2 linked regions of the Kluyveromyces lactis genome follow. The protein of the gene in region 1 interacts with the protein of each later gene in a pairwise test. Links are inferred from orthologs where the notes say so. Each region holds a gene or a part of one and is shown on either strand. Other genes may lie near its edges.

Region 1 (4,703 bases):
CACAGGATACTTTAGCGTCTTACGTGCCACATTTTCTTTTTTTTTTTAATATTATTAGTATGTAACAATAGCTCGTGAACAAATCAGTGGTTGAACATTCCATCACCAAACTGTCCATTATGATGTCTATTCTGAGAATGGGGGAGTGGTTGACCATTCATTGTTAGTTGCGGCAAGGATATTTGCGTGCCATTATTGAATGTCAGCATATCAAAATTTGACACTAAATCATCATTCAGACCACTGGTTGACGTGGAATACTGATACGGTTGTGAAGCGGGAAACATGCCAGGGTAGGTGTAGTAGCTTGCTTGCCCAGAGATGCCAGAAATGGACGCTTGCTGAGGTTGATGCTGAGGTTGAGATTGGGATTGTTGAGGTAACTGAGCTTGGACCTGAGAAGATTGGATGGGTTGCTGTTGAGATTGTGCGTTCGAGGAGGCTCTTGGTCTAGAAGATGCCGACCTGACACTGTTGACGGAAACAGTCCTCATATGTTGAGGATGGTCATTACCAAAAACATGGGAAATACTCATTCTTGGCTTGGTTTGAGCGGTAGATGGTTGATTGTTTATTGCATTCAAGCCCACTTCTTCCAAGAGTCTGCGATGCTGTGTGATATTAGATTCTGTGGTCAAAATGTAGCGAACTTGTTCGATAACATGGTGTCTAACGTCTCCTTCCAACATAGGAATAGACAAAACTTTATAAACAAAAGATGGTCCATAATTCGTGTCACTCAACAACTGATATAAGAGCTGAGGTGGTTTAGAAGATATTTCGTTATCCATAGGGCCGAAGATAGTATCTAATATAGCCCTTTTGGCAACTTCATCACCACGATAGTTCAAGATTTTCAAAATTGTTAATGAGGCAAGCTTATGACACCCTAATTCGAAAATATTTGGTAATAATGCCTCAGCAAGTATTGAGTGTCTTTTTGGCAAAGTACAAGTGTCTAAGAACCACGTAACCAAAAGGGCCCCATTGCTATTGGTGGCTAAATATTTCACAAAAAACACAATCATAGCACTAAGTAATAAGAGTTGTTCTTGAGTAATTATGTCATGGGCTTCCAAACAAGCTCTGACTGCACGAGCTCCATATCTATTTTGCACGATATTCCAGAAGTTGGAAACAATATTCTCGAAGATAAAGTTGTTCCAAGGGAAACCAAACTTCAACACACATTGAATAACGTAGTTACCAAATTGATCGTTGAACAATGGGGTACAATACTTATAGACTCCGTTTGCCACATACATTTTTTGTCTTGGGGTATCTGCGTTTGTAATCATCTTTTGACATGCCCAAGTACCATTCTTGTGTACACCCATCGATGTCAAATATACGCTTGTCTTTCTTAACATAATATCTTTAATGACGGAAGAGGCATGTTCAAATAGTTTCTGTACTATAGTATTACCTAAATAGTCCGAACTCAGTTCTGGTATTTCATCCAACATAGCTAGAACTAGCTGTTCAATTTCCAAATCTGACATTTGTCCAGAATCAATACTTTTTCGTAATTCACGAAGCCTTGGGGCATCGAACTCCCTTGTAGATAAGGGCTCAGGTAATGGACCGAAATCAGTAGTATCACTTGTTCCATTGTATTCAATTGCGTTTGCAATGATATGCTGGTACTGAGATGTATCATAATTGATACCAAACTTATTAATAGTATCGTTCAACAAAGTGATATTCTCCTTGAAAGATGGTGGTGGTAGTGGGAATGGACATTGTTCCTTCTCAGAATTACTTGAGGATGGATTGGTAGGTGACACAAATGCTTGAGAGCTCGATTGTGCGTGCGTATTGCCAGTAAAAGAAGGAACGGATACGTTACCTTGCTGTTGGAATTGGACTGCGCCTGAGAATAACTGTTCTTGTAGCAGGGACTGAGGGTTGATGGCAGTAGATTGATGGTTATTTTGCTGTTGAGTTTGCTGAGTCTGAGGTAGTTGTTGATGCATAGGTAAGACTTTTGCAAAGGAAACAGTACTTGGAGCACCGACTAGAGATACTTCTTTACCATTCAAAGCCTCTTTTGCCTTGATGGCAGCTTCCACAGAGGCAAATTCAACAATTGCCATATTAACGCCCCTCAAGGTCCGTGCTGAAATGACAGTTCCAAATTTCAAGCACAACGTTGCCAAACTTGTACTCGTCAAATTGACAGTATTGGACAAATGAGGCTGCTGCTGTTGCAATGAAAAGACATTAGAGATGGATATGGTATTAGTTGGTAATAAGTTTGAAATGTGGTTGATCGATGGTACTGATGGATCAGTTGTCACCCAATTGATCGATCTGGAATCCATGTCATCTTGAACAATTGGGTTGGTAGAAGCAGCAGTGGCTTTTAGTTGTGGATCCATAGAAGGTGGTATAATGAAAGTAGAAGCCCTAGATCTAGTATCCATCTGGTCGTAGGTTGGAGCGTCGGTATAGATACTGGACGCATTTGATTGAGACCTAGGTCTCGAATTCCAAACCCCTCCAATTTGTTGAGATTGGAACTGATGGGCACCAGCTGTTGTTGCTCCAGGTACACCCAAGTTATTAATGTTATTAGAACTTGTGTTCAGATCGAAATAGTTACCAGTTGCCTCATAAGGACTATACGTACCTGGTGCTAAATGGCTGTTGTTATTATTATTATTATTATTGACATTAGTTGGATTAGTAGTTGTTTGAATGCCAGGAGGAGACATTGGATTCACACTCATATCGTTAGGGAACCAAACATTGCCGACATTTGGGACCAACCCGTTGACGTTAGAAGGGCCAGTAATTTGAGATGAAACGGTATTGTTCCTAGTTCTGGAAATGGTATTTGATGCAGTTGGTTGAAGCGGGACGCTGTTTGTGGCAAAAGTGAACGAATCACCGGAAAGCCTTGGTTGTGATGGGACCAAAAGACTTGAACTATCCGGAAGATGAATAGCTTGATTGTAATCTACGTCAAGTGGCGGGGTGATATGTCCAGGCACTGACAAATTAATCTGAGCTATAGAACCCGACTTCGAAGTCTGTTCACTGGTATTTGCAGTCGCATCATCCGAGCTTAACTCACCAGAATGGTTACCTTCTCCCACGGCACTACTACCCTTTGAACCCTTCTTATTATGATGCAATTTCGCACTGATACTAGGTAAAAGATTCGATAGCGTGTTGGAGAATTTCCCTGCCTTGGATCTATAAGAACCTAGCTTCTGTGGCTGGATTGGTAGCTGGTCTATATTATTGCCACCACTTAAGGTGAAATCATCTTCGTATATGGGAATTGTCACTCCTGGATCGATAACTTCCGGAATGTTGGACAATCCTGACATAGAATCGCCGGAAGCTTTCCTCTTCTCCATAACGTGAATTGGATATTTGCGAGAAGCCGGGAAAAAAACCTATTTGCTATTTTTGACCTGTTCCTTGGAAAGTTAGCTTTAGCTCTGATTGATAAGTTTTATATCTCGGTTTTCTAAACACACTAGAGTCGGGTCAATGAAAGTAAGAGCCAATTATTAGATAAAAGTATATCTTTGTCTTCTGAATCGACTACACTAGAATCTCACAGTGAATATACCCTTTTGACTAACTCGGTGAGTGACTGGTTTGGGTTTTTTTAGCAAAACAACTCAATTCTTCTCTAAAGTTTAAATTGGTTCAAATCAAATCAAATCAGCTCTCAATATTTAAAAATGCCTTCTTTATATTTCAATATAGTATGACAATGATGAAATATTAACAAAGTTAGAAAAAACACTAGAACAAATATACTACCATAGCCAGGTAGAATAAAAGGAAGATGAATGAAAAGGGGATCGGATTTTGAAATTTTCTCGATTATTGGAAAACGCCGAACAGAATAAAATAAAGGAAATAGAAGAACGCCGAATGACAGCAAGGCAGTAAGCTAGAAAATCCTGTCAGTTAGGATATTGCTAATGTACTGGCCACAGTACACTGTTTTTTTTATATATAGTACATATGTTTGAAAACCCAGGAACTTTTCAGTATTAACGACGCAGCACAAATTTAGCGCGCATTATGCCCCTATTATGGTGATCTTCAGCTCTTCTCGTATATAGAGAAAAAATGATGATTTACCAGGACAATAAATGATCCAATTCGAATCACACTCTGAGTATTTAGAATTAGAGCCAGTGAAAATAATACGCAAGTATGCCTCTGCGAAGAAGCTTGGTGATTGAAGCTCAAGGTTTATATTTCCTTGGTACTTGTCTTTGCACGCCCTTTCTTTGATTATCTCTGCCAGCGAATGGAAAAGTAATTAATTGTCAGGAACTATGATTATCCGGGTAAGAGCTCGGCACGTGAGTTTCCTCGGATATGAGGCGGAGGTCGGTGGCTGGAGAAAAGAATAAAATATTAATAGAATGAATTTACTTACCCGGAATTACTGCTAGTTGAAAATTTGAAATCACGTGAATACTTATGTAATTATGATCTCGTTTTCCTTTGCCAATTCTGTGTTTTTTTTGGTTTTTCCTCTAATTTGATGTTTACGTATTTCCTAATTCAGATATTGTCAACAAACACTAGGTGATTGACAGGGAAATTTAACATACCCCATCAACAATGGTTTCCATTGTTTACTTGTTTGCCCATTGAATATGTTCATCAACTATAATATATTGTTGTATTTTGTAGGGTTTACATCTTTCATTTCTTTGTTTATA
Region 2 (2,798 bases), on another chromosome or scaffold:
CTTTCCCACACGACACTGGATACTACGCTAACCTCCCGGTGGTTGGTTAATAGTTGAACGTCGGTGGTGTATGGGACAAATGCGAGTTCTGTTGGTGATACTGGTATTTTCAGTCACGTGTTGTTAAATTAAGATCTTTGGTATCTGATAAATCCATAGTGTTTATTAGCTATATATCTAGTAATGTATGTTGATGCACCTGGCGATCTGGCATGACTGTGTTGATTGTCCTTACCCGGATCTAATGCCTCCTTATATAATAACTCAGATTGGTTAATGATGTTTCAACTAGAAACAATCCTTATGTATCATCTTGATACTTAACCGCCTATTACATTGGTAGTTACCCGGTCATGCGTTATGACTAGTTCGCAACAATAATCTAGCTCGCATGAGTGATGCAAGTTTTTTCTTTTTTAATTAAGATCTGTTCTAATAGTGTAGTGGCTATCACGTTGCCTTCACACGGCAAAGGTCCTGAGTTCGAACCTCAGTTGGAACATTTTTTTGCTGATTCTCAAAGCTCGAACATAATTAAATGGACTTTAACAAGTTGCTATTCTCTCTCCCGTTGATAACTGATTACTAACAGGTTTCTTTTCTGCTTGATGTTGCTTCATCTTGGTGGTGTTTGTTAGTTGGGTCTTTCGCTAACTCTTCAAGATATTCTCTTCTTTTCGACTTTAAAATTCATTTTCGGGCCTCAAAATGATATTTCAATTAGTACCATACTAATATTACTAACGATATCAAATATATCCACAGTTTCAATGCATGGAGGACTTAAAAACTATACAGTATACACAATTACTATACCTAGTTCTTCAAAAGTTCATCAGCAGTTTCAAGCGCGGCCTTTGCAGACTCTAAATCCTCTGTACCCTCGTATGAGCTTAGGTATTTATCGAGGTCATCCCTAAATTGTTTGATCTTTTTATACAATTCTGGAAGTAGCCTTTCTGTATCTTGTTGCACTTCAACTTGCTTCTTTAGATCATATGGATCTACTGATGGATCTGATTGTAATTTTTTGACATGGAGTTTCTGTTGTTCAAGCTCTTCTTGATAGAAATGTTCCTCTTTGCATAATCTCTTGAGTGCTCGTTCTTTGATTTCTAGTTGTGTAGGCGCCATTGTGTATGCAATTTATCAACCTGTGGCAAACAAGATCTGGTATCACGGTTCAATTCTTGCTCATAAACAATGTTAATAAGGTTCAGAAAAGATGAAGGCACTTCGACCATAGTACTGTCGTGAAGTTATTGTTTTCCATTAGGATTTCAGTATTTATGATTTTGAGAAACCGTAAACGGTAAAAATAGAAAGCAGATTCACTCTGCTTGATAGGGTAATACGACCCAAGGTAGAACAAAAACATAAGTGATGTTATATCTTACGATCACGGTTTGTACGTATAATTGGGTATTTTCATTGTTTTAAATGCAGTGTATACAGCTAGGTATAGCTATATACTTTGTTACTCAATCGTAATCGTCGAATTCGTTATTCGAACTGATTACTTGTAGCAGATTGAAGGGAATAAATGCTGCTTGTAGTATCGTCAACGATCTTTGTGGAGTAGTTGTCAGAAATATCTATGTATTCAGCAGAAGGGGAGTCTGTGACGGTCACTTCTTCAACCTCTTCGTCCGAAAATCCGAGCATATCAGTGATATTTAGAACTTTTGGATTAATGGCAGTCAATCCAGCATTCCTTATGGAAAAGTGTCTGCTCATTAAGGAAGTTTCTGAGGTAGTAGATGGACTGTTGATATCTTTCGTAATTTCCTCTGAACAACTGTAAAAAGATTCATCACTTACACTAACTGGTGACTTAAACCCCAGAGCTAAGGAATCCAGATCTGAAAACTCCTCACCACCACTACTTTGATCCGACCCACCTGAAGTAACGTATTCTGGAGTGGAGATGTTGGCTTCCAAATTTTCAGTAGGACTTAACTCTGGTGTATTTGGTAGCTTCAGGCAATCAACATAGCCTGGGCTGCTCTTATTTATTATTATTGGTGACATATCAACAGCTTTGTGCGTCCTATCCTTTTCCCTTGAGGCCTTGTGGTTCTGTAAAGATTCATGAATGGTATCAATAAAATCATCAATTCTCTTCTTAATTATGGGCGAATCTTCCGTACTTACATCTCTGTTAGTGTACAGATTCATAATTTCATCCAACAGCAAATCACTGTTGCTATTACGCTCACGATATTTTAAGAAAGGTCTGTTATCAAAATCCTCGGGGTTTGTAGAAGTTGCTGAACCAAGCACGGCAGATGGTGCGATTATTTCAGTGGTAACTGGCATCACAATATAACTATTCTCTTTGCGCACATTGATAATTGGTTCTTGAGATAATGGCGAAGAAGCCTTTCTTTTGAAATTTTGATACCTAATTGCTGTCTTTGGTAATAACCTGTCCCCAATCTCATCTTTTTCCATTACCGAAGGCATCAGCCGTCTCATAGATCCTGAAGAGACTCCCGAGTTCTTTATAACCTTAGGGTCCATAGTCTTCGAATTCGTCGGGTTTACCTTTTGCTGTTCAATACCACGCAGCAACAGCTCTGGTACAGAACTCAATCGTTGTTTTAGCCTTAAAGTACCCCCAAACTTACGAGACAGTTTCATTCCGCCACTTTGCAAAGCACCGTACTTGTTGCTCTTTGTCTCGCTTTCTCTCAGGTTCAATTGTTCGAAGGCATCTGGAATATTTGACAGATCTTCCTCGGTAAGCAGCATGGAGCTTGGAGGAGCGAAATCGATCTCTGAAACGATTCGTTGCC

Evidence for each region. The genes of interacting proteins can lie anywhere in the genome.
Region 2: the proteins of JSN1 (region 1) and RBL2 interact in a two-hybrid assay, tested with the Saccharomyces cerevisiae proteins (2 studies listed by BioGRID). The link is inferred for Kluyveromyces lactis from reciprocal best matches to the Saccharomyces cerevisiae genes JSN1 and RBL2.

What each region holds. Positions count from the first base shown.
Region 1 is NC_006041.1:540,657-545,359, reverse strand, and holds JSN1 (Jsn1p), read right to left. Parts: upstream 3,369-4,703; coding exon 84-3,368; downstream 1-83.
Region 2 is NC_006039.1:823,164-825,961, forward strand, and holds RBL2 (Rbl2p), read right to left. Parts: upstream 1,135-2,798; coding exon 817-1,134; downstream 1-816. Other genes in the region: DSE3 (Dse3p), read right to left, coding at 1,504-2,798. UniProt on the Saccharomyces cerevisiae protein: Tubulin-folding protein; involved in the early step of the tubulin folding pathway.